Linked DNA regions of Rattus norvegicus. The main gene of each other region encodes a partner of the protein of the gene in region 2 in a complex. Links are inferred from orthologs where the notes say so. Each region holds a gene or a part of one and is shown on either strand. Other genes may lie near its edges. The genes, in order: Ctnnd1, Ctnna1 and Cdh26.

Evidence for each region.
Region 1: Ctnna1 (region 2) and Ctnnd1 share a complex: the UniProt entries of both Homo sapiens proteins name them as parts of the cadherin:catenin adhesion complex. The link is inferred for Rattus norvegicus from reciprocal best matches to the Homo sapiens genes CTNNA1 and CTNND1.
Region 3: Ctnna1 (region 2) and Cdh26 share a complex: the UniProt entries of both Homo sapiens proteins name them as parts of the cadherin:catenin adhesion complex. The link is inferred for Rattus norvegicus from reciprocal best matches to the Homo sapiens genes CTNNA1 and CDH26.

Annotation. Positions count from the first base shown.
Region 1 is NC_086021.1:90,092,383-90,102,494, forward strand, and holds part of Ctnnd1 (catenin delta-1), read right to left. Parts: intron 9,386-10,112; coding exon of another isoform or gene 9,368-9,385; intron 8,924-9,367; coding exon 8,855-8,923; intron 7,832-8,854; coding exon 7,704-7,831; intron 7,606-7,703; coding exon 7,455-7,605; intron 6,832-7,454; coding exon 6,639-6,831; intron 6,182-6,638; coding exon 6,067-6,181; intron 5,535-6,066; coding exon 5,447-5,534; intron 2,228-5,446; coding exon 2,165-2,227; intron 586-2,164; coding exon 482-585; intron 128-481; coding exon of another isoform or gene 41-127; intron 1-40. UniProt on the Homo sapiens protein: Key regulator of cell-cell adhesion that associates with and regulates the cell adhesion properties of both C-, E- and N-cadherins, being critical for their surface stability.
Region 2 is NC_086036.1:27,128,221-27,138,742, reverse strand, and holds the end of Ctnna1 (catenin alpha-1), read right to left. Parts: intron 8,174-10,522; coding exon 8,063-8,173; intron 7,411-8,062; coding exon 7,229-7,410; intron 7,104-7,228; coding exon 6,998-7,103; intron 5,641-6,997; coding exon 5,506-5,640; intron 4,846-5,505; coding exon 4,558-4,845; 3' UTR 3,734-4,557; downstream 1-3,733. UniProt on the Homo sapiens protein: Associates with the cytoplasmic domain of a variety of cadherins. The association of catenins to cadherins produces a complex which is linked to the actin filament network, and which seems to be of primary importance for cadherins cell-adhesion properties.
Region 3 is NC_086021.1:185,893,780-185,904,437, reverse strand, and holds the start of Cdh26 (cadherin-like protein 26 precursor), read right to left. Parts: upstream 6,008-10,658; 5' UTR 5,692-6,007; coding exon 5,641-5,691; intron 1-5,640. UniProt on the Homo sapiens protein: Cadherins are calcium-dependent cell adhesion proteins. They preferentially interact with themselves in a homophilic manner in connecting cells; cadherins may thus contribute to the sorting of heterogeneous cell types.

The DNA.
Region 1 (10,112 bases), on a different chromosome or scaffold from region 2:
CCTTCCTCAGGACCATCTTAGGAGTGACTGGAGGACATACCATGGGGGGGTAAGACACTTGGTTCCCCTCATCATCCAAAACCAACACATCCAACTCTTCCTCCAAAGATTCCTGCCCCTCGTCCTGCTGTGAACACATGCAATTTGTTAGTGAGAGCCAAGGTAAGAATCTCTAAGTGTGTGCCAGATCTAAAGAAAATCCCAACATTGGTAAAGTAAACAAACACGGTTAAGAGTCCAGGGCAAATACCCTAAACAGGAGCAGGTGATGTACTAGAGAGATTAGTTAGCGTCAGTGACATCAGCAACACAATTAATGAAAAACATCTCAAGAACCGTCAAGTTGCATCAAAGCCTCTACTTTTTCCTGAAAACACCTACCAAAAAAAGATTTATCTTTCTCTCCCCCCCATTTTATATAATATACAGTTTCAATATACCATTAGCCTCATACACACAGCAATATATAATAAGGATTTACCATCAAGGGTGCTCCCTTCAATGGCTCCATATCACCCAAATCCCCAGATCGGTCCAGTGTTCTGTTGTGGTCTCCTCTCTCATTCAGTGTGGAATAGTTGTTATCTAGAGAAAAAAGTACACAGAAATGAGAGATCCCTTCTAGTATACAATGCATGTGAATTAGGCACCCGATTGAGAAATGAGCTGTTTCAGATGCTCCAACAAGACATTAAACGCTGATACTTTTTAAGACTTACACGCAGCTTGAGTATAAGGGGGGAGATGATATATGAGATATGCCCAGTACTGGGGATGTACTTCAGTGGTAGAGTGGTTAGCCTAGACTACCCACCATTGGGAAAACAACAAAGCAGTAACAATGAGAAACAGTGTATCCTATGGTGGTTGATACTAAAGAGACCTGGCCTGCTTATATACAGCCCTGAAATTAAAAGAAGACAGAGAAACATGCTACAATTGGAAGGAATTGATAATGCAAAAACAACTTGAGTTTAGCCTTTGGGAATGAAAAGAATTTAGAAGAGCAAAGGGGAAGAACATTCCAGTAGAAGGCTTCATATAAAGATTTTTAAATAACTCAGTAATGTGTTGAGTGTCCTCTTGTAAACCTACAACTGCAGCAACTGGAGGTTAAGGGAGGAAGATCCACAGATATTCAAGGTCATCTTCAGCTACAGAATAAGTTCAAGGTCAGTCTGAGATACAGGAGAACCTAATGATAAATAAAATAGAACGATGGGATAAAATAGTAAGTAGGAAGGAGGCAAAAGAAGTCAAGGTCATCCTCAGATAACCTGGGCTATGAAATCCTGCTTAAAAAAAAAAAAAAATCAGTAGAGAGTAGAGAGGAAGAACAGAGAGGGACAGGGCTAATTACACGCCACACAGAAACTTTATGAGAACATATGTGGGAAGAGGATCTATCAAGAAGTCAAGGTCAGGGGGCTGGAGTGCTAGCTCAGCAATTAAGCACACCTGTTGCTCTTGCGGAGGGCCTGGGTTCATTCCCATCACATACTTGGTGGTTCACAACTATCCCTAACTCCAATTCTATGGATTCTGACGTATAAGAGCATGGGCCACCTGGTAAACAAACATACACGCAGGCAAAACACTCATACATACAAAATAAAATAAATTGGCTAGGCATGGCAGAGTCTCAGCACAGGAGAGGCAGAAGCAGGTATGCCCTGGTGAGTTTAAGGTCAGTTTGATATACAAAGCAAGTTTTAGGACAGCCAGGAATATACAAAAAGATCTGTCTCAAAAAATAAATTTTTTTTCTCCTAAAACCAATTTTTTTAAAGTTCAAGTTTGTCCCATCCACAGTAACATATAAAAATGTAGAAAAGAGTAGATTGATCAAATTTTATTATAATTTCAGATATCCTTTCAAATGGAGATAATCAATCACTATACTTCTGGGATGGTTGTTTAGGGGGTAAAAGCTACAGGGGAAAAACAAAAAGAGCCAGGTACAGTGGAGCATATTTATAATATCAGCACTTGGGAAGTAGAGGCAGGAGAATCAGGAGTTCAAGAGCAGACTCAACTGTAGGGAGTTCAAGACCTGTCTATGTGACCTGAGACCCTGTCCCAAAAGAAAAGAGAGAGAGAGAGAATGCCTACTCACCCCAATTAAACACTATTCTGCAACATTAGACAGGAACTCTTTACCTACCTAATGATTTTGTGTTTGACCCCATATTGCTCATTGGAATTTCTTCCCGGTCAGGTTTCTTATCTATATGGAATTAGAAAGTTATCCAAGTCAAAATGCAATACACCAAAATCTGTATAAAGTAGACATTTCTTTCTAGCATGCCATCTTTCCTTGCCTTTATTCAATACAGTTTTACTCAGCACATACTATGTGCCAAGACTAATCACAACCTACGGTTCTAGGAAAGCCCTTGCAGAACTCTGGTCCCTTTCCTATAGACACCCAAATACAAGAAACATTTCAGAGGCATTTGTTGTCAAGCCTGATGGCCTGAGTCTCATCCCTGGAAACAACCTGTGAAGAAACTGAGCCCTTCGAGTTTTCCTCTGACCTCACACCCAAACTAAATAAACAAAGAAATAAATGGGGGGTGGGACCTTCAACAATATGGGCCCTTACATCTCAAAGCCCCTTTAGTCTTAAAGATTGCAAGGTTCTAGGCTAAAGATGTAGTTCAACAGTAGATGAAGCGTTTGCCTAGTCTTCTCACATATGAGGTGAATGAGGGTGTAGGAAATGACTTCCATTGGCGTGGAATAAGCAGACTTTACTATATTCAGAAATGGAAACATCTATTCCACATAAAAATATTTTTTCCATAATCATAAGCACTTTCAATTTAAAAAGCATTGTGTGGGGGCCGCTAAGGTGGTTAACGGGCTCGAGCACTCGCTGTGCAAGCCTGTCAGCCTGAGTTTGATCCTAGAGACCAGATATAACTACAAGAACAAGCTCCCTGGTTGCCCTCTAACCTCCACTTGAAGGCCACCATATGTGTGCCCACGACACACATCACAGACAATAATTAATTTTTAAATTAAAATAAAAATCCAAGGTTGGGAACACTGTTGAACATTTTTATATACCTCTTTTAACTCTGGGTTAATAGAAGAGATAGAAGTAGAACTTAGTCTCATAATTTTAGCACTTAGAAGGCAGAGGTAGGGGTCACTGTAAGTTCCCAGTCCAGGCAACTGTGGAGCCCATGGTAAGACCTTGCCTCAAGAAACCCACAGAAAGTAGATGGGGTAGTCTGTCTTGCCCTTGTATGGCATTTACTTATACAGATACACAGATTTTTGAAAAGTATTGGTACTGTCTCCCTGCAAAATAACAGTTTACAGAACTATGCAAATGTTGTAAAAATTAACACATTTTATTATACATGTGTATTTATCTTGACTTATATAATCATAAAAGCCATAAAAATGGTTTTATTATTACACTTTGTGTGTGTGTGTGTGTGTGTGTGTGTGTGTGTGCGTGCGCGCGCACGCATGGGTATGAATGTGCACATGGGAGGGAGAGAGGGAGAGGAGAGGGAGAGAGAGAGAGAAGGAGAGAGAGAGCGACCATGTATCCGTGTCCATTCATAGCATGACACGGATACAGTGGTCTGAGGACAACTTTCAGGGGTCAGTTCTCTCTCATGAATGAACTCAGGGTGTCAGGCTTACTGGCGAGTGAATTTACTCACTGAGCCACCTTGATGGCCCTAGAAAAAGCCTTCTAAGTATTGGGATGTTACTAGGCTCAGTAACATGGGTATGATTTTCCCAATTATACTTTTCTTCTTTCGGATTTTGGGGTTTATTGAGGCTTTTTCAGGGGGCAGGGTCTTATTCTACAGCTCAGGCTGGCCTTGAACCCCCTATGTAGCCCATGCTGGCTTTAAATGAAGGGCAATCTTCCTGCCTTAGCCTTCCAAGTGCTGGGATGAGACACTACACTCAGCCAGAATTATATTTTTCACTCAGGTAGCAAATACTGTCAGTTTTTTCAACAAAGTAATAAAGTTTCTGTGTTTATTTCTGAGGGAATGCTTGCCAAATAACCATGTTGAAATAATCATCACTTGTGTGTCAGCTACTTCATTAAGTAAAATAGTACTCTATAAAAACTGGCTAGTCTAATTAGTAATACCAGTAGTCTGCCTCAAGATAATCACAGTGGCTCCCTGTGGCGCAGCACAAGAGCTTCACATTTCCTCATTAACACTACACATCTAGGGGATGTGTACTTAGGGTAGAAATATAATAAAATATTACAGCTCCATCAAGGATGCTCCTAAATGGAGATGGCTTTTTAACTGAGGAGTGCATGGGAGTAAACCCAACTAGTTCAGGTCAGTGTCACCATCTCCATCTGTGTTGGCCCCGGCAGCACGCGCTGCTTTTATGTCATCAGTGCATATGTCCAAGAATCTTGGGGCTCTCACGCCATGCTCCAAAAGCCATGGGTGGAATCAAAAGGTAAAAGCCGTAAGATAAGAAAGGTTACGGTACATACTTTTAGTGAAACAAATATATAAAATACTAAATATATAATTCATCTATGATAAAGTGGTTTAAAAAGCTCTACCTCAGGGAACACACACACAAAAAAAAACTTGCCAAGAAAGACATGGATTCAGTCCCCAGTACCACAGCAACACAAAAACACAATCACACACACACAGAGCTATAGCGGTGGTGTTTTCTCTAGGGACTAGAAATAATGGACTTTCTGGTTGTCAGTAGTTTTTATTTTTTCCAACTAGAAAAGCACTAATAATTAACCAAGCACATTAATAAGTATCGGAGCTGGGGACCGAACCCAGGGCCTTGCACTTCCTAGGCAAGCGCTCTACCACTGAGCTAAATCCCCAACCCCAGTAGAACAGAAATTTAAGAGAGAGATTAAACAGAAAACTGATTCACCCTCTAGTAACTTGAAGTTCGCAGGCAAATTAAAGAAGCCACACTCGGTGGCTGGAGGTGGTTGTCCTTTAGGACACTCTAACCAACCAGCCACCCAGCCACCCCCTTTCCTTTCCTCTTTCCCACTTCAGGTCCTTCTCTGATCACCCTGCCCCAGTTCCCTGATAAAAGTTTATTTGTGACAGAAAAAAAAAAAAAAAAAAAAAAGCCGCACTTCACGCTACTAACTACCTTGATTTTGGTTTTACTTTCCCTTGAGACAGAGTGTCATGTAGCCAAGGTTGGCCTTGACCTATTACTGACCCTCCTTTTGCCACCTCAGAGTGCTGGCTGGGATTACAAGTGTGCACCACCACACCTGTTTGATTTCTAAATTCAAACCTATTCTCTTACACAGTACAATCCGGATGCAAAGCATTACTCCCACACTCGGCATCTAGCTTAATTAGAAATAAACACATATCCTATTTCTCAGTTAATAAGCCATTAAAGAATGCCAGGAGCACTAAACAGAGAAAGCTGCACCCCTTGGTTATAATACCTGATTTTTGGTTCCGGTCAATGAGGGGGAGAGTGCTATCATCATATGAATGGCTGCTCTGGCTTCTAGATGCATTGTTTAGATTCACCTAGAGACAAACATAAAACCCAGTGTCATAGAAACCTGGAGAGATTCCTGGCCCCTTCTCCTAACCATGTACCTCCCACTTCAGGAACCCTGAAAGAGCATGGGTTTCCTTCCCCATGCTCACCTGCCTTAGCCCTCACACATTCTTCCTGAAGGGCTTAGATGCTAGGTGCCTACTGACAGTAACTCCTCAGAAAAGACTGAGTCTAGGCAGTAGTGCATACCTACACTGCTAGTACTTGGAGGACAGAGCTAGAGGGAGCAGAGAACAGTAAGCACATGAAGGGTCTGAGTAGACAGGAAGCTCACAGTGGCCATACATTATCACTGCTCTCTACCAACAGCATCTACTGTATGTTCAACACTGAGAGAGAAGAACTACTTCAGCAAAAATAAACTGTGAGCACCACAGTTTATAATAAACTGGATTAAAAAGTAGTGTGGCAAGTCTTTACAATCTAACCAAAGACAGAGGCACTAGCCAAGGAACAAAAGAGAAGAAAAGTCAAAGCTTCAGTCGAGAGTTATTGCACCTGGAAGTCTGATTTCTTCCACCCCTCTTTTTCCAGTGGCTTCCGAAGCTCCTTATAGCCCCAGATTGTCTGCAGGACAAGAGCTGCTGCCCGGACTTCTTTTTCTGAGCGATTCCTATGAAGGAAAGTAACACCATACAAAGTTTAGTTTTCAGACCAGGGATCTCAGAACTTTTACTCTCTAACAAAGTGGTTTTCAACCTTCCTAATGCTGCATATAGTTAGTTCCTCACGTTATGGTGACCCCAGACATAAAATTATATTTATAGCTACTTCATAACTTGACACCCACAGGTTGAAAACTACTGCTCTAACAGCACAAGGATATAAAAATGTAAAAATGGGTGAAGCCAAATTTCACCAACTCTTATACTGTATGAAACACTGACATAAACTACTTTGATGTAACAGTCCATACCAATTTACAGACCGACACTAAGAATGAAAATAGAGCAATATCTCTCCACATGTTATAGGAAGAAGTAATCTCACAGAATGGAAGAGAAAAGTTATTTTCTAAAAACTCTTCTTCAAACTCAAATTCTCTTAGCTGTGATTAAGAAAAAGCTCACCCTGATTTGTTGATCAACACCAGCTTCTCAATACCCTGGGTCTCTCGAAGCTTTTTGGCGGCTTCCAAGTTCTCAGCAATAACTTCGTTGATGGTGTTCAATATAGAGACCACGGTGTCTTCAGAGAAATTCCAGGAGGAGTTCTGTTGACCTCCTGGCAGATTCTTTACCAAGTTAGGAATAGCATGTTTGCCTATAGCAGTAAAACAAAAGGTCAGAAGGAGCCTCACAATACACTTGAGAGTAGTAATCAGGCCAAGTGTTAAGTTCTAGTCATACAAATTAACTCCATTATTACTAAGATTATTTCAAAGGGGGCAAGAACATGAGACAGCCATAAACTCACTGCCATTCATCTATTTCCTCAAGAGCACACAGACAATGAGATGCTGGATATCAAATATAGTCTGGTCTTTCCAGACACAGTAATGAAAACAGTACATTCAGTACTATCTTATGATAATCTGTGGGGCAAAGCATTCTTTATGAATTTAAAAAAATTCAACTACTTGGGCTCTGCCACTAACTAGTTCAATTCTGGGCAAATGAAAAAAAAAAAAAAAAGAAAAGAAAAGAAAAATTCTTAACAATGCCTAGAGATAGAGAAAACAGATATTCAACAAATAATAATGGTTATAATGTTTTGGAAGAATCATCACTTCTTGCTTTTGTAAGATCCACAAAACTATGAACCTTCAACACTCAGAAATATAAACTATGAAGGATTATAAGATCCTTCTCCTCAGTGATGTCAACAAATGACTAAACGTTTGCTGGATTCCAGGCACTGTGCTAGGCACTAGTTCAAATCCTTACCAATTAACTCTTTGTTCCGAGCATCCACAGCCAGATTTCTCAGTGCCCCAGAGGCAGCTTTCACTACTCGCTCGTGTTCACTGGTCAGGAGGTCAGCTATGGCAGAGAGAGCCTTCTCTTGACGAAGAGCAGAGCGGATGTATCTGCCATACTAGGAAACACATGGGAAGCGGTAAAAAGATTACAAATGGTAGCAAACTAGTTATCTACACTCCCTATCTCCAAATCCATTTTCTTAGAGGTACTCACTGTCCAGCGCCCAGCACACAAGTTCTGGATAGCTCCAGCCGAGGCTTCTAGGATGGCAGGTGTCTTGCTCTCCTTAAGGAGTGAAATGTATATTCGCACCACTTCTGGCTGAAATAAGAGTTCATAGCCTGCACAGGAAAGGGCAAAACAGAAATCACTAATCAATGCCTACAAACCAGGCTCTGGCTGCCTGCAGTTCTGCTTCTCCATCATCAGGCCCCTCGAATTCCCTATCAGTCATGAGCAAATTCAGAGGCTTGATTTCATGTCTGTCTTCTCGGGTTTTTGTTTTGTCTTTTGAGACAGGGCCTTGCAATGTCAAGCAGACTGGCCTCAAACTCATAATCTTCCTGTCTTAACCTGTGAGTACTAGGACAACACATGTACCACGGATCTCTGTGAGTTTGAAGCCAGCCTGGTCTACAGACAAGTGTTCCAGGAAGCCATGGTTACATGGTGTGGTGCTGACTCACAAACAAAAAAACTACTACTAGCCCATGGTAAAAAAGAGAATAGACAGCAACGCAATTATATTCAATTCCTCTCTCCTTTCTCCTTGACTTGTACCTCATAGCTAACTTTAGCTTTGTTTGTTCCATAAGCAACCAGGCCTAATGATTCAACATCTGAAACAAAAAATTATTTCTAATTTAACTCAATCATTGTCCCCATCATGAGTATGACTAAATGATAAACAGCCTGAGATAACATAATTTAATTATCAACCTTTATATTTATAGAAAGCTAGCAAGTTTATATTCATTAATATACTGGATCCAAACATCCAAGCTGAGATAAAGGCATTTCTTCTAACAGTAAGGTTCAAGATCCAAAAACCTGCAGTGGCCATGCAGATAGCTAAGTCTCTTTTCTTATGTTTTTCTGAGGCATGCTCTCCCTGTGGATCCCAACATGGCTTTGAACTGATAGCAGTTCTCCTGCCTCAGCTACTCAAGTACTAAGGTTGCATACATGCACCATTATACCCAGCCTAGTTTCTAGCTCTAGACTAAATACTTGTGAATGAATTTTCCCAACACTTTTACTGTCACTTCAAATCTACTCAGTCAGAGAGAAATGTTCACATAGTGCATAAAACATGTTACCATATCCAAATTCTCTAGAGACAGAGAATAAGGAGGGTAGCTTACCCCGAGCAGGACTAGTTCTTTTAGGGAAATCCACTGTATCATTTGCTGGATCCTCGGTAGGCTTTTTCCCTATGAAAATGGAGAAAGGGCGGAGAGAACAGGGTAAAGAACTTTTTTTTTTAAAAGGAAAGATTCGACCTGACAGTTTTCATCCTTCAGTCAGAATCTTCAGATCATAGATGCAGCATCAAAAGAAGCAAAAGAAGGGAAAGCCCACACATAACTGTCCCAACAGGGATGATGCAGAAACAAGGAGGACCAAAACAGGCAGTAAACTGTATAAAAGGAAGGCCACTCCGGATGCTGTGAACTCAGTTCTGATAACATGGACTGCTGTCCAGAAACAGCATCTCAAAACCACAACCCAGAAGGTTTAAACTGATTCCAATGGTTCTCCTCAACTAAGTTTTCCTACATGCATCCACAGGGAAGGGTTAGACAAAGAGATATTAAGAAAGGTAAGAACCAAACCATGCAAGTTAGCAGACAAGCGCCTTAAAAGATTGCACTTACCTCTAGAGAACCACTCATCTTCCAGTGCATCACCAAGGTGGAAAGCGAGGAGAGAAATGAAGGAAGAAAACGCAGGAGAAAGATGTCAACAGGATCATGGGCAAGTACACAAGAAAGCAGAGGAGGAGGAAGAATAGGGAGGAAGGCCCCAGTTTAGCTCAGTTCTTGTCATTCACTGCCCTAGATGCCAAAACACTAACAATCATCACCATCCTCACATCACTACCACCAACCACCACCACTACTACCAACAACCACCACCACCAACCACCACCACCAACCACCAACAACAACCACCAACAACCACCACCAAACAACAACAACCACCACCAACCACCACCAACCACCACTACCACCAACCACCACCAACCACCACCACCACCAACCACCACTACCACCAACCACCACCAACAACAACAACCACCACCAACCACCACCAACAACAACAACCACCACCAACCACCACCAACCACCAACCACCACCAACCACCATCACTACCACCACTACCACCAACCACCATCACTACCACCACTACCACCACCACCAACAACAACAACCACCACCAACCACCACCAACCACCAACCACCACCAACCACCATCACTACCACCACTACCACCACCACCACCAACCACCAACCACCACCAACCACCATCACTACCACCACTACCACCACCACCACCAACAACCACTACCACCACCACCACCAGAGCAAAAGGACACATCTCCATAGGGAGACTTCCAC
Region 2 (10,522 bases):
GATTAACGTTTATGCCAGTGCCTGCTGAGGTCAAAAATGGGTGTTGGATCCCTGAAACCAGAGTTACATGTTTGTGAGCCACCATGTGGGTACTGAGAACTGGACCCATACAGTGATCATCACCACTGAGCCATTTCTCTGGCCCCACCCCAACCTAAAAAAAAGAGAAGAAAAAGGGAGAGCCTCAGCCCACTACTGGGTTTCCCCACGCTGTGCTCTGAATCTGTGCACACCCATTGTCTCCGGGTGACAGACAACATTGAGATCCTATTCCATCGATCCCAGCTTGTTCAGGACAGCAGTCCACGAGGGGCAGTCGTCTGGCGTGATGGCAGACTCTATTCAGAGGATTGGAACACCCTATAGATGGAAGCTGGACTTCTCAGAGAGTGAAGTCATCAGACATGCCTCGTTCAAAGTTTAAGGTCAGCCTGGTTTACACAGTGCCAGGCCATCCTGGGCTACGCAGAGTGAGAGCATTTCTAAAGTAGGCCAGAAAGTGCTAATGCCATTAAAAGTCTGTGTGAGCATTGCAGTGACAGTCGGGACCATAGGACCTGGAGGAACCACTCTATAGTATTTGACATTGTCCAACCCAGCAACACCGACCAACAGGTATGGCGCTAGCATTTATTTCCCGAAGGTGAGCAGAGATGTCAGAAAACATTCATGTCATCTGTTGGTGGCTGTGGGACAAGAGTGCAGCGGAAACTGGTGGAGGCTCCTGTGAGAGTCGCCTCAGTGGCATTGACAGAGCAAGCTCTAACTGATGCAGAGCGGAGAGGTGTGGCCTGCCTGCTCCCACCCTGGAAAGCCTGTTGCTAAACATTTCAGCAAGAATTGTCTGGGTGTCACAGGCCTGGAGGCTGCCATGTTGGAATGGGTAGGAAGGGCAGAACCAGAGGGGGGCCCTGGACTATGGCAACACCACAGGTATCAAGAATAAGCCGAGGAAGGAAGCAGGAATCTGAAGGATATGAAACCACAAGTCTAGAGAAGGCAATCTGTACAACCAAAGCTCGTGGGATGCCGAGCCTGGGGGATGCTGGAGGAACCAGACCTTGATGTTGGTGTGCTACGGGCTGGATGAGGCCTCTGGTGTGGTCATCATAGCAGCGCTTTCCTCCCCGGAGAGGAGGCCCTGGCCCATGTGGAAGGTTCATTTTTGGGCCTGGAAGTTCTGTGCTCAAGGGGTTAAGTTGGGGACCGGGCATCAAAACAAAGGAGAGTGATTAGTAAGGCCAGAGCTGACTGTGGAATGCAGACCCCATCAATAGAGGGAGGCCATAACAAAAAATTAGCATGACAGGCTAGGGAGGTAACATGGGACTTCTGTCCTTTGCTCACCAGGTTGAAAGGAGCAGCTCAGGACTCAGTGGGTGATGGGGGTAGATCCTGAGAGACGTCAAGGGACAGGCACCGGCACCTCCTTGGGAATCTTCACAACGTCGCCCTCCCACACTGAGTCTCCTCTCACATGCTCTGTGTGGAATCACAAGATCTGTAGGACACACGAGGTTTCAAGATTTTGGTCTGGGCTTCCTCTGTTGCTAAAACCTTTTTACTAAAACCTCCAATATTTCCACAGAGGACACAGCCAAGACCATAGAACACAAAGGGACAGGAATGGGAGAGATGGGCTCCCGGACAGCAGTGTGGACGCAGCTGGAATGGCCCTGGTCTCAGACACAGGCTGATGAAGGCCTCGGTGGTGAGCTCTTGGCGTCTGCTGTGGCAACGTCAGAGCTGGGAAGCGGACTGAGTCTTAGGGACTGGGGACTGACCTACTGGGGTGTGGCCAGGCGTGCAGAGCCTGAACTGGAGAACATTTACTGATGAGCTAATGGCAGCACGGTTAGACACAAGGGCTCTTTCTCCCTCAGTCCCAGGCACTCGGTGAACTGCTGGTCAGTGCAGACCTGGCCAAGTCCAAGAGCTGGACACACACAACCAGTCTTGAAAAGGGCACAGAAAAGGCACCAGACACTCATCACAAAGGCAAATTTCTTACAGGGTCGATCCAGTTTCCTGAAGAGTTTATGTTTTGCTGAAAAGCACAAGGGCCTGAAGGTGCAGGCAACGTGATGAGAAGACCTTAGCAGCCCTTGGGAACTGAATGTGGTTAAGCCTCGGAAGCAATTTTGTTGCTACACGGCCAAAGGTCACGGTGCTGCCAACCCAGGCTCAGGCTCCAGTGCTGGTATGAAGGCACCATGTTCATTGCCAAGGTGAAGATGGGTGAACTAGTGAGACTCCCACATATCTGCAGAGGGTTGGCGGCCCCTGCTAGCTTTACAAATAAACTTGAGGTGATATCTGTTAAAAACTACAAAAAATGCAGGGAAGTCTGGGGGTGTCAGTGATGGGCCATTCAAACAAGAGGTGTGTGAAGTATGACGTGAGGAACCCCACCCAGGGACTGCCAGCACAGGCAAAACCAGGAAGCACTTGGGAGGCTGAAGGGGTGCTAACGATGTGTGCAGATTGTTGGAGAACAGGGAGGCTGGTGGGAACAAGACGCAGCCATTACTGAGGACTTGGGCTTTTGTGATGTGAAGTCGCTTGCAGATTTGGGCTCTCTTGGGCAGGGCTGACCTGATGCTGAGGGAGGGAGGGCAGGACGTGCTAATGGGCAGCCACCTCTGCAATGCATGCGCAGTACAGCAGGGATGGTGGGCAAAGGCTTTCCAGAGAGCACTAGACCACTCCAGGCGGGGAAGGCAGCTGTCATGTTGTGGGTTTTTCTACGGAGGCACTTCTGTGACAAGAAATTAAGCCTGGCCATAACACCTGAGCGCGCTCTGGCAGCACGGCAGCAGCCCAAGCCTCACTTCCTTCAGCGGTAACACCATGATCTGCAGGCACCGGCCAAGCTCGGGGGAACACTGGCTAGGAAGTAACAGATGAGGTGGTTTGAGCCATGGGGCAGTGTGCAGAAGTGGTCACAAGTTGTAGACCTTGCATGCATTTTAAAGTAGCCTCATTGTGTTATTTGGCCAGAAAAATGTGACTGGTAATACAAGCAAAGGTGGAAACGCCGAAGGGCCTTAGGCATGGAGAGCAGAGGCAGCGGGTGCGCCCTGGCCAGAGGGAACATCTCAGAATATCAGACTTAAAAGCAGAGTGCCAATAACAAGCCAGTATCAGGCACTGAAAGCCAGGCACCTTGGGTAAGATCAGAAGATCAGAAGAGCGGAGGGAGGGGCAGGCAGGCAGGCAGGCAGATGAGGGAAGGCACAGAGGAGAAGGTGTGTAAGGAAGTGGGTTCCATGGACCTTGCCTACGCAGGTCTGATAAGGTAGGGCCAGTGTGACTGGGGAAGGCAGTCAACTTGACAAGGGGCAAGATAAGCACTGACTGCAATGGCAGAACAAGTTAGTAAGGTGACAAGGTCCACGGCCATCTCTTTAGGGATCTCTAAGAGGGAATCTGTAGGAGGAAGGGATAGGAGACAAGGCTAGGGAATGGAGTCAGCCATTTTCATGTCATGGTTGATGCTGCTGGCATAGAAGGGCCCCCACGGCTTTGACTTGAACCCTGAAGAATGGCTGTGACACTCCTCAGGCTGGGGTACTGAACAGGACTTACCCTGCCTGGGAGGCAAGAACCTGAGAGGTCCTCCCTAGAGATCCAGTCACTGTCTCTCCCTCCTCCCTAGGCATCCTGGGCAGAGGGGCAATTAGCCCAAGTCTGACTCTTCTTGAAGGCAAAGAATGACTTCTGCTTCTTAGACTTGGTTCATAATAGACTTTATTGGGAAAATTAGTGTAAAAAACAGATTCATAAAATTTAAATAAGACAGTAAAATCTTATCTTGTAGCTATGGTAATTGCTATAGTAATCACAAGTAAGGTGGAGTCTAAATTATTGCCTAAGCGAACACTGCTGTCAAGGCTCCTTAGCCAGCCCAAAGCAGGAAACACTGCGATTATTACGAGAGCCCGACGATGAATTTGCATTTCCAGCTGGAATAACAGGGGAAGCATGTTCTGATTACAGCATCACAACGTTCTAGCCCGAGAAAAGCAACTCTATTAGTGTCCTACAGCAGAGCACATTAGTAACTTAGCCGTGAATCATAATTCCCATTCTGCTTCATAAAGAAACCAATCAATTTCCAGGGTAATCCATTGTTTTATTCCTCAGGTTTCTGGACCTTCTTTCTCACACAGTTTAAGGTGCCCCATGGTTTACCCTGGGTCACCCTTGGCCATTTGATTCCATACTGCCCCACAGTAGGGCTAAAGGCAACCTCTCCCTTGGGTGCTCACCCCGGCCTGTTCAGAAATGGACCAAGAAGTTAATGTGGCACTCTCTGATTACAGAATTTTTATTTCAATTAAGCTTATAAAAATATAGCTAGAAATATATTTTGAATTCTAAAAGCTTTTTTTCTAACCAGCTTTAACACAAACATGTCCTTGCAAAATTCACCACCTGGCTGAGTTTGAAATCTGCTCCCTCCCTGTGGAATACAACAGAGCTCTCTACTTAGCAAACACATCTGAGTGGAGAAGTATGTGACCGACTTTTCGGGACCCCCATGGGCTACGGAGCTCAGATGCTGTCCATGGCCTTGAACTCGCTGAGGGCCTGCACAGGGTTCACGTGCTTCTTCTGGGAGGCCCGCTTGATCTTGGTCTGTGTCTCATCCTGCTTCTCTCTCTTCACCAAGGGCTTCTTCTCGGGGGCTTTCATTTTCCATGACACAGCAGGAAGGTTGAGGGACGCCATCCCCTGTGACTTCTGGTATTTGGTGGAAGCCACGTAGGACGCCTTCACTGTCTGCACTACAGCGTTCATCAAGTTCTTGGCTGCCTGGATCAGGGACATGGCGCTGTCCACCTACAAAGGACAGATGAGTCACCGGTGAAGAGCCTGACTAGAACCCTGCATGCATGTGGCCTGGCCACACCAACCAGGGCCTCGTCACCTTAAGGGGCTCCTACTGCTCTATCAAGGGCAGCTCTTACCCATGTAGCTTGCAAATACTTGCCTTTGAAAAGAAAAGGTGACAACACACAAAGTCGCCTCATCCCCCATCCCTTACAGTGCCGAGTGTGCAAGGCTGTGTAGCACGGGCACCGTGAACAGTGGCAGGGACTGTGACCTGATGGATTGCTCCAACTTAGCTCTTTGTGGGTAGAAACGGAGAAAGCAGTGGGCGCGGTTCTATTTGGTAATTTCTTAGTTGGGTTAATTACTCTTTTGGGGTGGTGGTGGTATAAAAACACCCTTTTCCAAAGAACAGCTGGCAAAAGAGACGAGGCCTGGCAATAGTTCCAGCTGTCACCGGGCCACACCAACCATGCCATGCTAAAGAGATGGTGTGAGGCCGGTGGGCTCCAGGACCCAAGAGGAACTAAGAAGGACCTTGTAGCTAATGCTGCTTCTCCTTCCCCGTCTGGAGTAGGTGGGCGATGCACAGGGACAAATGTCTACTTCTGCTACAGACACGGGCCAGCAAACCCCTCCTGGCCAGTGTGTCTCATCGCTGACACTTACCCCAGAGACGACAAGCTCTCCACCGAGGTTCTGTACTTCAGCCTTGACCTTGCTGCAGATGTTGAGCTGGTGGCAGTAGAGCGCGATGCGCTGAAGGTAGGCCAGCAGGTCCTGCTTGCAGGCGGAGTCTGGGCACTGACGGAAAAGGAAAAGACGCTCAGCACTGAGTACTCCCAGCCCCACCCAGACAACTCCTGTCCCCGGGGTTATTTCTCAAAGGCTCCCCGTGGGTGTTAGCTTCCTCCCTCCCTAAAGGAGCAAGGGGCAGAGAAGGGGGAGTGTCCATTCTCTAGGGTGCCATACCCCAGGACAGTCCCTCCCAGAGCCCACCTCCTGCATGGGGTAGGCAGTGAACACTTTCTGAGCCTTCCACTCAGTAACTCAGGGTCTGCCAGCAACTACTGTGCTAATGCCTAGGTTTCCACCCCAGGGGAGAAGCTCCTGGCCCCTATAACGTGAGGTAAGCATCAGCAAGCAAGGGCCTGGTCTTACAGAGGAGACAATGCTGAGCTATGTAGATTAAAGAAGTGATTCATCAGCCGAGGCGCTCGCTGTCCTCTCAGCCAGGGCGCACACAAGATAAACCCTGAACACAGAGCTCTAGGCACAGGTGATTAACAAAAAGGTGACAAGTGCGGCCTCTGCCCAGACTGCTGGGGGCTGGGTGCTTAGGTTTCTTCAGAGAAGGAAGCACAGCCACTCACTCACTCTCCAGTGCTCACAACAGACACTGTTCTTCCAATGGTGGAGGGGAGGGAGAAGCGCAGTGGTGTAAAATGGGGTCTAGATACTCCATGCTGAAGGCTTTGAATTTTTCTAAGATGCCACTGAAGCAGGACAGATTCAAGTGTGATTTGCATTTTATGATGACAGTGTTGATGGCTGTTTGCAGAACAGAGGAAAGAAAGGCCACAGAGGTCTGAGCAGTAAGAGATCAATGGAGCTGCTAATTTCAGACAGAAAGAACAGGTGTTGTCACAACACACTGTCCACAAGGCTTTTTATTGGGTGGTCAAGAATGACTGCCAAGTGTTAGCTTGAGTAATGAGGGACAGATGTCACCCATCCTGCAGCCTGAATGACACAGTAAGCTTGGATAACAAGCCTAGAAAAAGGCCACAGGGAAGTGCTGTGAGGCTTCCTGGAGGTATGAAGTAGCAGTGAGGAGAAAGAGAAGCCTGTCCCCAGCTAGACGCTGTAACAGCGCTCACAGCAAGAGGCTGGGTGAGGGTGAGGAGAAGGGAGGCAGCAGAATCTGCTTCTGCTCCAAACTGAAAACCAGCCAACACGGCAGAGACTGGAGTGATAGAAAGTTTTAGATAGACACACCCAACCCTGGAAACTCATCAAAGAAATAGGAGTTGAGAAATCCTCAGGAACGTATGCTGGGACTGATGGAGTGGCTTAGAGCAATTTTCCAAGGTGAGCCGTGGCCCATGAGAACGCTCATCAACAGCTTCCTCAGCCATGGGCCGTGCAGAGCGGCACTCACGTGGTCTGCGATGGTCCGGCCAAGCTTATCCATCCTGGATCCTGCCTCAGCAATTTTCTTGGCAGCACTGATCACATCCGATGTGTTTTTGAGTGGCCCTTTGCCTCTGAAAAGAGAACAGGGTGCCTGTCTATGAATCCCATCTTGGTTGGAGGTTAAGTGGAGAAAAGATGTCTATGCCCCAGGGAAGTCCTCAGCCTCTCTCTCTGTGGGCTGCAGGGCTGCGCTCACCGGGTGAAGTCGGTCATCTCCATCATGATCATGCACATCTGCTTGGCCAGCACAATGATGTCATTGCCGCTGTCGTCCCACTTGGACACCTCAGCGTCCAGCTTGCTCTTCTCCTCCTGGAAGCTGGCCACCTGCTCTGCGATCTTTGCCTTCTGCTCCTGAGGAAGCTGAGCCATGATCGCCTACAACCACAAGCAAACCACTCAGGAAGTTCTCACAGTGCATTAGCCAAGACGGCTAACAGCAATCTACAACATAGGTAGGATAATACTTTAATGGTTTCATTTTGCCCAAAGGGCAATTTTCTCATTTTTGTAGGAATTCACTGCAGCCTAAATTCCTGACCCACTTTTTAAAATCATGTCTGAATGTGGAGGGAACAGTATGGGAGGCTAACCTGTGGGCTCCACCACCACATCTGTGAGGGTCTGACTCCTTTATAAGTTTCAAGTTTGGTGTTGTCTATAGCAACAGGAGAGGAGAGAAAGGGATGAGTGGGTGGAACCCTTCCTGTTGGGACCTTCAACAGACATTTCCAACTTTGGAAGGTCCATCAGAGGTAGATCTGCAGTCTTTCCTGATTCAGTGCAGCCCAGTGTACAGGGAGGACCCTGGGTTGCCGCCCTGCTCCTGGCTGAGGGTATTTTCTAGGAAGCCACAATTGACCAGCAGGTCATTACCTAGGATTTTAGTCGTACTCCACAGGGAAAAAAAATCATCAGAAAAATGGCGTTCTGAATATAGTTAGTTAAATATCCTAGAAAAGGGCCAGGTCTCAGAGCCAGAGAGCCTCTCCGGAACAAGTCAGCAGAGGACCACAGCCTGTGTCCTTACCCGGGCGCTCTGTCCAGCTATCAGCTGGTCATCTTCTGTCTGGACACTGGTCCTGCTTCTGACATCAAAGTCTTCAGTCTCGAAGTCAGAGTCGTCCAACTCCTCGGGGGTCTGCAGCCAAAGGAAAGACCCGAGTAATCAGCCATGCTTCCGGCTGAGTGCAAGCCCTTGCCCAGCAGCACCGAGGCCCAGGGTGCAGACACTGGTTACCAGAGAGTAGTGTCTCCTCACCCCCCCTTAGTCCTCACATAGGACTTAGGAGTCAGGCTGACCTCTGAATCAGGGCTTGTTGTAACAGAGATTTCACTTTTAATACAATTTCCCAAGGAATCTACATCTGCACATGAAGGTAAAAACCATCCTTGCTCAAAGTTTTTAAAGAAGAGATGTTTTTACACAACATAAAGCAATTTCATAAATGCTTACTTTATGACAAGAACATAAATTAATGCTGGGCTTTCTCTTTGGGTGCCAAGGCTATTTTGAGGAATAAAAAAAGCAATGTGTTATTCCTAAAGTCTAATTTTATTTTTGTCAAAGGACAAGAGAACATAGCAGTGCATACCAAAGGGACTGACTGCTGGTGTAGTCCTCTACAGTAGTTCTTAGGTAAAAATCATACTTTGCACATATGAGCAGCCTCTCCTGACTTGAAACAGTTATTAGGAAGAGCCAGCAGGCAGAACAGCTGGGGTTGGTGTCAGCCCAGATGGCCAGCCTGTGACAGGAGGGCAGCGAGCCCTCATCTCTGGTAGGCCCTAAGCCAAGCCATATCCATGGGGTCTAGAGAAGTGAGCACAGTACTGGGCAGGGATCACAAGGCACTACAGAGCCGCAAAGATCCTGTCAGTGTGTGACTCTCGAGTCCTGCCCAGCACCTCTGAGCTCTGGCCACAGACTGGTGTAGGTTGGTGGGCTAAGTCTAAGGAGCTTCCCAGAACAGCAGCCGACGTTGCTTCCTTGCCTGCTCAAGGCCTAACTGGGTCCTAAGAATTGTTCTTGCCAAGAAAAGGAGCTCTTTTCTTTCCTCCACTCTCCACTCACCTATCCTAACAGCGAACAGGAATAATGGGCACAAACTGAGTAAACTATGTGGCTGACTACGAGTGACCGGCACGATCATGGTGACTAGAAACAGGCAAGGGTCCTGTGAGGCAGTGCAGTGGGAACATGCAGCTGGAAGTGTGGGTAAACTGAGGTAAAAGAACAACTTGGCTCTCGGGCTGGATCCCAGCTCAGGTGACTGAGCCAGGGGGCAAGCAGTGGGAGACAGGACAAGTGATGTGAACAGCAGACTGCTCAATGACTGAAGCTGGGGCTGGTGTGGACGTCCTGGGCTAAGAGACTTCAGGCAGAGGGATGAGACAAGGAAGACAGGTTAGGGGTGCCCGAGAACTGGGGTCAATCCCTGGGACCCACATGGTAGGAGGAGAGGACTGACTTTCACAAGCTGTCTTCTGGTCTCAATACATGTGCACACAAAAAATAATGTAATTTAAAAAGGAAACCAAGCCTGAGGAGCTGAGTACAAAGTGATATGTGGGGCATTGGGACAAAGGACTAGTCATTGGGAGCCAAAGGACTAGTGAAAATCAAACAGGAGAAACTGTGTGCATGCTGAGGACAGAATCCTGGCTTTATCACCGAGGCTCATTTCCAAGAAAACCAAGATGATTGTTGAATAAAAGGCAGCAATGGGGTCAGTGATGGTTGTGTGTACACGCTAATGCTAAACTCCACCACCACCATCCTCAAAGCTTCACTTCTGCCACTTTTCCACCAAGCCCACTTCAGATGCTAAAGGGCGCCCTTCCTGAGAGTCCCCCACCACACACACCTAGAGGCCCCGGAGAGCAGGCCTGTGTTCTTCATTCCAGCACGGAACTAAACAGTAAGCAGCCGCCATTTATGCGTCAGACCTGTGCTGCAAACACTGCCTGTTTGTTTATTTCATCCAATAGAGCCATTAATTTTTTTAAACATTTACTTTCTGTGTGTGGGAGTTCTGCCTTGATACGTGGTTGGTATCCTGGGAGGCTAGAAGAGCTTGGGATGCCCTGGGATGGAGTTACAGATGGTGCTGAGGTACCCTGTGGGTGCTCACTGAGAAGAAAACCATGTATCAGAGGGACAGTCCCCAGACTGCTGCTTCAGAATGGTACTCAGCCTAGATCACCTCCTCCTAGGGAACACTGGACAGCTCTGCCAGCAGTGGCTTAACAAGGCATCCAGTCACAGAAGAGGAACTAAGTGGTCAATGGAGTGTATATAGCCTTGGCACCCATAAACACATACTGCAGCCACCAGCCACCATCGATGTTCTGACAGACTTGGACTCTGAGGACAACATGCAGGCGTCAGTCTTCTTTGGTCTTCTCTAACCACATGGGTCCTGGAGATCAAGTCCAGGCCACAGAGTTTGATCGCAGACACCTTTACCCACTAAAGCATCTTTGGCCA
Region 3 (10,658 bases), on a different chromosome or scaffold from region 2:
AGCCTGGAAAAGTCTGTCTGTCCCTCTCAAGTCTCTCAGTCTAAGACAGAGTCTTTAAGTGACTGCCTCAAACTCCAACTCTGTAGGTTCATTCTGTCCTAATAGCGCAAATGTGCCCAGTCAACAGGCAGGAAAAGCCAATCACATCCTCAAAGGGAGTTAAGGCGGGGAGCTTTACACTTTGCCAGAGAGGTACCTGAAGCCCGCACTGCAGCCCCTGTCTGCCCTTTCTTCTCTTTGTGCAGCTTCAGAATGGCTCATCTGCATGATGCAGAGGACTCAAAATTGTTCCTGCTGCCAAAATGACTCTGTAAGAGCGCTTATTACACCTCCATCCTGGACAATTGAGGCTGTTCCTCCCAAAAGGACACCATTCACAGCAATTTGCATAATGCTCTCTGCAGTGCTAAGAGGACTGTCCCCAGGCTGACTTCCCGGCTGCAGCCTACCTCAGGCTGTTTTATCCGACTGGCAGGCAGGCAAGCTCTTGCCCCTCCAACCCTGAATGCCCTTTCACAAGTGAGATTGGATTTGGGCCAGGTCACCCATACTATTCAAGCTTACCTGGGGGCTGGGGAATGATATCTTTTGAGAATTAAAAGTTCCCAGAATAAATTACAAGGGAGGGGGAGAGAGAGAGAGAGAGAGAGAGAGAGAGAGAGAGAGAGAGAGAACTCAAGCATTTCAAAAAGAACATTTTCTATTTGGGGGTCTTAGTTCTCTCTCTCTCTCTCTCTCTCTCTCTCTCTCTCTCTCTCTCTCCAAAGTTTCAGGTAGCCTAAGCTGACTCAGTCTTGCTACATAGCCAAGGATGGCCTAAAACTTCTAATCCTCCTATCTCCCCTACACAATGCCAGGCATCAACTGTTGCAACCCTCATTTCCAGTTTATAGGACACTGGGAATAGAACCCTTCACCTTGTGTGTGCTAGGTAATTACTCTACTAACCAAGCCATAGTTCCGGTCTGAATATTTAAAATTTTAATGTACATGTCAGTTCAAGGAGGATTTGGAGTCCTAGAAATCAGCATTTTAAATTCCCACAAGACATTTCTACACAGGTTCCTTGGCCTTCAGTCTGTCCAGTTTCTGGGCTCTAAACAGGCAGTCCGAGGGCACCCTGGGGATAGAGTATTCAGGCACTTTACAGTATGGCAGCCACTGGCCACGTAGCTCTCACTGAATAGTTGGAAGACGAGCATGCACATATGGAATTGAGTCTTAAATTAGACTCAAGCAAAGTTTAAATTGCCACATATAACCGGTGATGGCTGCCTTCTCTGCACAGAGAAGACAATAGTCAGGCCCGAGTTCCAACCCCATCCCTTTCTTCAGTAGCCGCATGATGGCAGGCAAGTGGTTTGACCTGAGTCTGACTCTCATCTGCGTGGTGTTGAGTAATTGCATACAACTGCACATACAGAATCCTCCCCGTGCTGCGGATCACCGTGTTTTTGATGTACAGCATGCAAATCACTTAAGGACATTTAAGAAAGCCGGAATGAGGGGGACTCTGCAGGCGTCACGGCAGGCATGGAAATGAACTGCGAGAAGAGTTAACTCAGTTCAGACTGACTTCGTCAACCTGGATCAAACTTTGGGGAGTCTGGTGCCAGGTGATTTATTGCCAATATATTTAAACACAACATACTTTGGGGGGGGGGAGGTTGTGCAATACAATCCCCAGTGCCTGAGGAAACATACGTACATCAGAGCTCAACGCGGGGTACATGCCATTTCTTCTAAAATGATGGATCCTGGAGATGTGGAGCCTGTATCTGCTTAAGGGTCTAGTGAAGGATCTGGGGTCATACAGATAGTGTAGAGACCATTTGGGCTGTTAGCCATGTCTGGTCCTGGTTGTGGGAGCTTGGGAGAGCCCCTGGCTGTACAGTTAATATAAGGGTTATTTAGACTATCAGGTATCTCAGGATCTGGCTGTGAGAGGGTGATACGGCCTGGTCCAACAGATAATGCAGGTCACCAGGCTGTTAGTCAGTTCCCAGCTTTCTGGATAGAAGAGCAGGTTTTACATCTTTCCCACTGAAAAGACAATCCTGTGCACTTAACATTCCTGGTTTCCCTGGAGATCTGTGGGCCCAATGACTTCCCTGCTCCAGACACTAGAAGAAAGGATATTGTATGTTTTCGCCATAAGGAAATGCTAACAGGTTGAGGTGATGGAAGTCCGTCCTGATTTGACCGTTGTGCAATGCACACAACCATAGGATCATTATATGGTACCTGGTAAGCACGACTTTATGATTTGAACCTATCAGCTCTTTACTATTTAATTTCTTAAAATGCTTAAGAGGCCAGTGAGATGACTCAGCAGGCAAAGGTGTGAAGCCAGCCGACCTCCACTTACCAGTGGGACCCATGGGATAGACCCGGAGAACCTGCTCCTGAAAGCTCTCCTGACTCCACATGGATGGCTAGGCATGCAAAGGCCTGCGGGGGATGGTAGGGCACACCCAGACACAAGACAGACAGACGGATGGATGGGCAGATGGACGGATAGACAGGCACGTACACACATGCACACACACACACACACACACACACACACACACTCACTGTAAAACTGTACTTCAAACAGGAAGGGCCAAGTATCCAAGTATTGGCCTTTTGAAACCTTTATTTCCTCTTATATCACATGGTCCCCTTGGATTCAACTTAACCAAAATCGACCCTTTTAGCTCATGTTCCCCAAAGTGTCCCTTCTTCAGGACCCCCTAAGACAACAAAACGCTGCACCTGCTCACTCTCCATACCTCCCCCTCCTCTTTCCTTCCCAGGCTCCTCTGCAGCCTTCCAGCCCTCTGTGCCCACCTCTGGGACTGAGAGTCCCCATATTTCCAGGAGAGACACTGGGGCATTCTCTGGAGTGAGCACTTCTGTCCCTTCTCGTCCCTCTGCTGGGAATTGAGTGACATCCCTAAACACGTATGCAGAAGTCCTAACCTGCGGACACCATCTCAAAACTAAGATGTCTTTCGGTTTCATCAAGCTGCCGTGAAGACGTCCTCGTGGGCCCTGATCCAATGACAGGAAGAGGAAGCAGACACCCGGGAAGGAGACTGGCAATGGCCTGGACAGAGAATGGGGTGATGTAGTTGCAGGCCTTCTTAGCAATAGCAGAAGAGCCAGGAAGAGGCTCTGAAGGATTCTACCAGAGGGACTGTGGTCCTGCTGCTGGTACAGTTGCAGACACCAGGCCTCTCTGACTGTGAACACACATTTTTCTTAGTTCAGAGCCAGCTTTTGCTACATGCTTTTCCAACCCACTCTCTGCCTTTAACCACTTGAATATGTGATTCTTCATGTATGGTAGCAGAAAGTCCCAATAGGAAGCCACTGCTGTTGGGATAGTCTGGATGCTCTTTCCCAGGGAGCCTAAGGTTCACCTCAGACTGCCCTGTTATCCACCTCTGCAGCACTCCAGTCTCTCATTCCTGGTGAAGCTCCAGTGACTTCAGCAAGCCGAGCACGGTTGTTAGCAGTGCACCACCATTTCTTCCTCCACCACCACCACCACCACCACCACCACCACCACCACCACCACCACCACCACCACCTCCTCCTCCATCACCTCCACCACCACCACCACCACCACCACCATTTCCTCCTCTTCCTCCACCACCATCACCACCACCACCATCACCACCATCACTACCACCATCACCTCCATCACCACCACCACCACCATTACCACCATCACTACCACCATCACCTCCATCACCACCACCTCCACCACCATCATCACCACCATCACCACCACCATCACCTCCACCACTACCACCTCCACTATCATCATCATCATCAACCACAAAACACCAGGCTTTCCTCCTACTCCGGTTCCATTTGTTGAAGAATTCTCTCCCCTCTAGCCTTTAACTCCTGCCCAACCCAACCTGAGGATTCTTTGGCTCTTGGGACTAGAAATGACCAACCAGGAGGATGGCTTTAAACTGGGTGTCACCAAATGTGGAACAAGGCCACTAGCCTACAGAACACACTTCTGACTTTGTCACTTGGCTTCATGTCAGAGTCCTGGAACTGTTGGTAATTTTTAGCCACTGGGGAGGGAAATTCTGTTTTCAATAAGAACATAGCCCTGGTAAATGGACTACGCTCTAGTGGAAGGCCACATACTCAAGGTTTTCTTTTTGGACAACACAAAATCATCTTGATTTTTTTTTAAGTACTTGAATCTGGGTGGGAAGAGGAGAGGGGTTAGATCTGGGAATAATTGGGAGACTATGACCAAACATGGATGAAATTCTCAAAGAGCTTGATAAAAACTAAAAAACAGAGCAAGGGTGTGGGGTTCAGAGAGAAACCGATACACACCACACCCCCCCAGCAGAACATCACAGGCTGTCTTGGTGGAGATTAGGTGTGGGTGGGGGAGGTGCAAGCAGAATCTGGAGGAACCTGGGAGGCATGGAGGGTTGTGTTTCTCTCAGCCAGTTTAGAGAGTGATCCTGTACCTGCTGAAGTTACGGTTCTTCACCAAGAAAAACGCCCTGCGTTGTCCTCACTGAAACCCCCGGATTCCTCAGAATCCCCTGCTCCCAAGTACCAGAATTCCCTAGGGTCTATAAAGTCCCATCAGTCAAACACAAACACCAAGGTACCATCCTCAGGAGGATCTCCCCTCCCCCGCCCCTCCCCACACCAGCATCTGCACTTCCCCTTAGAGGTGAATTAATTGCTTGGGCACTGTGCTAACACAACAGAGGCGAGCGGGGAATGTTGCCATTTCCTTAAGAGAGGAGTTGGGGGTAGGTGCAAGTACAGGGAGGATGGAGAAAGGATTTGATTTGCAATATACTCAAATCCAGGCTGATGTGGGGTAATAAAGCAGGGTTCTAGGAAACACTATAGATGAGATTAATGCTCTGATTAAAAGCTCAACTCTTGACACGGCAAAAGGCAACAGAGACAATTCTCGTAACTCCAAGCAACTGGTACTAGGCAAGGCATCCATTTTAAAAAACTGGGGCAGGGCTCTGCTAGCATGTAAGCGTGCCAAGGCTAGCGTGTAAGCGTGTCAAGACGGAACTCCTATTGTGTTTGCTGCTGTGTTCTGTGTTCCCCCAAGACTCTGGCCCCGCAGAAGTCTTACAAGTGACTCACGATTGTAGCCCCCTTCAGTCATTGACTATGAAAACCAAAAGGAAGGCTGAACCACCACTAGCCCAGCGGAGCCCCTGTTTTTCTCCTTCTGGTCACAGTGGGGTTATTCAGTAGCCCACTGGTTTGCTACATTTGTCTTTAACCTAAGATTTTTTTAACTGAGGTCCCCTCAGTCCCTTTCAAGTGGGGGCAGAGGCACTGTAGGGAAACGTTCTTAAAGTGACAAGATCTAACTTAAAACTGTGTGTGTTTCATAAACTGGCATCAAGTTCCTCAGCTGCTCCCCACTCCCCCATAAGATGTGGATCTCAACCCCACATTTACCTACATCCTGGAACCCTGTGTGCCTATATTACTACAAAGACAGCCAGCCCCCTGTCTCCACCGAATGCCTGCTTCTCTCCAGGCTCAAGTTGCCCTGACAAATCCCTTTAGCCTAGAAAATTAAAAACCCATATACGTATGCTGTGCACAGATCCCGGCCCCCACTCAGCTCACCTGTGGCAAGGACAGCAGCAGCAGTAACCAGGCACAGACGCTGGTGTCCATGCTGGGCTGGGCACCAGAGAGTCCTTGGAGTCTGGAAGCCTCACCAGGAGCCAGGCACTTCCTCTCCAACCAGTGACATTGCTTCCAGTCACCCTTCGGGTACTTAAGACATGACACTTGACTTTGCTGCACCCTTTATTCTCCGCCCAGCCTTCATTTATCAGAGAAGGTGGGCTGACGGATGAGGCATAACCTCGTCTGTGGCCACAGAGTTCTAGGGAAACAGGTGCTCCGATACAAACACCAAAGCTATGTGTGTACACAGAAAAGTGGTTGGGCATCCGGCCTTGGGGATTATAGCTCAGCCGGAGGAAAGAAAGCCAGCGCCTATGGGAAGATCGGGTTTTGTTTCTCCGTCTCTTGGTTGGTTTTTAGTTTCTAAATAGAAGTCCAATAATCCCTCTATAGTGGGACATCTAATCGTTCTTATAGTCGCTGGAAACTGGAAAAACAACCCCAAGAAATTATATAGAGTTCCCCAGGGGGTGGGGGAGCAAGAGAGAAAGAAAAAGAGGGAGAGCCCATGGTGATGGTGGCTCAATCAGTGTGCCTGTCAGTCCCCATTCTGTTTTCTAACTGGACCCTTGCTGGGCCAGACATCCGGTGGGTGGCGCTGAACACAGCAATAAGCAGCACAGGGGAGGGGAGAAAGCTGTCTTAGGGTGCCCACGCTCCACTGGAATCCCATACAATTATACCCAGGGAAGATAATGTGGGGAAGAAAGAAAGGAAGGGGACTTGGGGTGTGACTTCGGTAAAGCACTTACCTGGAAGCACAGGCAAGACCCGGCTTCCTCCTGCCCCTAGCACTGAAAAATAAATTATAACTCTCCAGTGCATGTTACAAAACCTTTATGCCAAGCATATCTGGGCTCTGGGGTATAAAACCATTTCTACCTAAACCTCTTATGAGCATTGATGGAGTTAAAGAATGAGTGGGCAGAGATATGGAGACTGCTGACCCCAACCCCTAGCCCGAGTCTCTGGGAAAACCTGGGCCTTTTGACTTAGGCTCTGGGAAAGGACCACATTGGGATTCGATGACATCACCTGTCAGGCTTGCAAATGTTCAAGCAAAGCCTGAACTTGGACTCTGACAACCTTTATTAATACGTGAGTTATCTCCTTATCTTGCCTAAAGTAACGGCCAGTTTTCAGCGGGCAAAACGGGCAGCAGTCCTTGTAAGCGTCCTGCTCTCTCAGAGCGTGAGCTGAAGCTGACTATCTGTGCTCAACGGTTACCGTACTCGTCGGACCCTCTTGCATTGAAAGCGTCAACGCTGTGGCAGGCTGGTAGGTGCCTTCTGCGTAGGGAGGGAATCGGTAACAACGACTGGATTTACTTTGTGTGAGTTTCAGAGAGTTTCAGAGAGTTTCAGATCATCCTGGGAGGCCTCAGAAGAGAGCCCTAAATCCAGTGTTTGCAAGTGTCCTAAGCTAGATGTAGATAGTGCTGTGAGTGCAATGCTCTGGAAAGAACCCCAGGGATGCTAGGCAATGGCTCTAGTTTTACTTGTTCTACATTGAAATAATGCTGTTTGGGGATTGGCCTTTCTCCTTGGGCTGTGGTCGTCTCAGGCTTTAGCCATAACTGATGCACATTCACCCTAGGGAATATGCTTTTAAACACGTGGGGTTCTGGTAACAACAAGCCAGGACTCCTCAGTGGGGTTGGAAGCACAGAAATAGCTGTGTAGTCACATGATGGTGCTTTCTCCACCAGAGCAGAAGGCCAGAAGCACTGCTTCAGAGAAACGTTGAACATCCTCCTTTCTCCATTCTCAGGCTCTGAGGGAAAAGAGCCTTGAAATTCCAGGAAACAGGGTAGAGATGTCCTAGTGAGAAACCACATCCTTCTTCAAGCTGGAATGGATGGTAGAACACCAGGCTGGGCACACGAGGGTCCAGCCTACCCAGAAGACAGAGATTTGACTTCCATCCATGTTGTCATCAACCTCATAAACTGGACTCCTTCAGCCAACCCAAGTGACTAAAGGAAAATGTGTGCAAGATGGATGACTGAGAGACTGAAAGGTTGGGAAATCAAAAATGGTTCCTGCTAGGAATTCACTGGATCAAGACTTCCAGGAATGGCCACTCATATCCAGCCAATCATTGAGTTCAATGCTTGGTTCTCGTGGTCACAGGCAAAGCTTGACTCCTCAGGAATCTCAAGAGGGATTGGTGTGCCGCAGTGAGACATGGGTCCCCGTGAGTGCAGGTCTGTGTGCAGGCATACTTACATGGATGTGTGGAGGTCAGAGGTCAACCTTGGTCATCATTTCTCACTGCACAGGTCTCCTCATTGCACTTGAGCATGCTAATTACCATATATGCTGGCCAGCCAGTCCCAGGGATCCTCCTGTCTCTCCTTCCCAGCATTAGGGTGGCTAATGCCACCGTAAGTGACTTAAATTTTCAATTACATTTATATATTTATCATGTGTGTGTGTGTGTGTGTGTGTGTGTGTGTGTGTGTGTGTGCGCGTGCGCACGCGTGCATGCATGTGGAGGTCAGATGGCCACCTGTGAGAGTTGGTTCTCTTCTTCCACCTTCCAGTTCTCAGGGGTTGAAGGTCACTGCACTGCACTTGACAGAAACCACCTTCACCCACTGATCCATGGCCCCAGCCAATGCCTGGATTTTTATGTGTGTTCTTAGAAACAAACTCAGGTCCTCGAACTTGTGTGATAAGCATTATGTTGACTGATCTGCCTCCCCAGCCAAAAACAGATAAAACAGACAAGCACTAAGGAGAGCGCTGTTTCCAGTAACAGCAGTGTAGATCCGAAAGCTTGAGTCTGGTGTACACGTTGGCCACCAAGGGAAGGCTACAGCCTCCCAAAGCAGAGATATCTCAGGGAGATACAGCTCAGCTGGTGCCCAGAGGGAATCTGCTGTGGAAGGCTTCAGCCAAGAGGGGCCTGGGTAGGTGAGGCGGCCTGGTAGCTATGGAGTGAGCACAAGGAGCCGTGGGTGCTCACACCCATGACTGGATACCTTTCAACCTTCCTTGGGTTTGAAGATGCTCATATCATCCTGCAGCACTAACAATGGATCTCATCCCAGATGCTTGCCCACACCTCGATAGCTGGCCAGTCAGTGAGCTTCAGGAATCCACCCACCTCTACCTCCCAATCCCTGCCGAGAGCTGGGTTTCCAAGTGTGCCCACCATAGCTGGCTTTTCACATAGGTACTGGGATCAGACTCAGGTCTGCATGCTTTACCAATAAAACCATCACCCACCACCCTGCCCTCTTATTCACCTTTTGCCTTTATGTTTCTACACTAACAACACCGCTGGCAGAACTATCAGACCCTCCAGTCATTTGTCTGAGTAGGTTTTGGAGGGAGGTTTTGGGGGGAAGGGGAGGTACAAGGCTAAAAAGAGGGAAGGAGCTTTAAAGAGGTTTCAAGGTGATGCCCCCCATATCAAGTTCTCAATGAAACGTATTTCTTCTTTTTTTAAAAAAAAGTTTTGATGCTTTAATGTGTATGCGTGTTTTGCCTGTCTACATACAAGAGCACCATGTGCACGGGCAGTTCCCAGGGAAGCTGGAAGGGCCAGATCCCTTGGAACTGGAGTTACAGACAATGATGGGCCACTGTGTGATTCCTGAGATCTAAAGCCAGAGCCTCTGCAGCAGCAGCAACAGGACCTGTGCACTAGAAAGGCAGGCATCTCCAGCTTGAGGGTGTCAAGGCTCCATAAAATGCAGAAGTCCCATTGTTTGGGGAGGTCCTAGGCATGAGCAGCATAACACCTAGGGCTTAACAGGCTCCACTGTGATACTTAGGTTGCAGTTTCTCTATAGAGGCAGAAAGGTGTGATCCTGTGGTCACCCAGTGTAAGTAAGGGTCTGGGTGTACACATGTGACAAAAGACAGTTGACAGGCAAAAGCACAACAGCTTTGCCAGTTTCCTTGACCAGGAGCCTTCAGAAGACGCCATGGCTCAGGGGAAGGGGAGGAGGCTACTGTTCAGTGTAAGGAAGCCTGCACAGCCTTGTGGAAGTGCTCATGTGAGACACCTGGAATGGGCTCTGTCTTTGAGGTAAGAACAGGAGACTGTCTTCTCAGCCAGATCTTAAATAGAAAGGGCATGGGAGGAGAGAAAAGTATTCCCAGTTTCCAGTTGTCCCCCGTTCTAGCTTTTATGGCTTACCTCAGGGAGAAGGGGTACAGAGAATGGGTCAGAAAGGTCTCGCTTCTGAGCCCCTTTGTTCAAGCCCCTGAGCCCCATGAGTCTAAAATATCCAAGCCTCACAATCCCACTCACAGCAATCCATTTCAACGTTCTACGTATATTTAAAGTCTTGCTATTGCTAAGTAAATATTACACATAAGTGTGGGTGTCTTTACTGATGTCTTGTGAAGGTGGCTTCTCTGTCAAGATTTTATAGATGATGATGTCATTTCACATCTGCTAGGCAGGGCCTCGTGATTAGGGAACATTCTAGGAACACCGGAGAACCCCCCACTGTAGTTAACCACACCTAAGAATTTATTTAATCTGTGGCGGAGGAGGACAGGTGAGTGAGGGACCTGCTTTGTGTCGGAAGCTAAGCGTTCCTTTGCTCTCCCGTTCTGTTTTGATTTCACTACAAAGGTTTGCTCTGTTAGAAGACAGTAACAGATTTCACCAGGGTCTCAAAAGGTTTGGTCACCACCTAGTGGATGACTGAGGAGCAACTGCTCAAGTAACTGTATTTTTCACACACAGTCTAAGCCTGGAGTTTATACCTCCGATTTGGTGACTTTGGCTAATGTCAGAGGACCATTTCTAACCCAGCGCCACGACTACCGCAGTTTGGCGTCCTTAGAGGCACCCGCTTCGACGTCAGAAGTGGCTTTAGGAAGGCGTTGCGAAGGACTCTGGGAAGGCTTACAGCCGACGCTGGCTTCTACCAGGGCTTCCCTCAAAAGCCGACTCCCTTCAAGATGCGTGAGTTAAGGTGGGAGCTC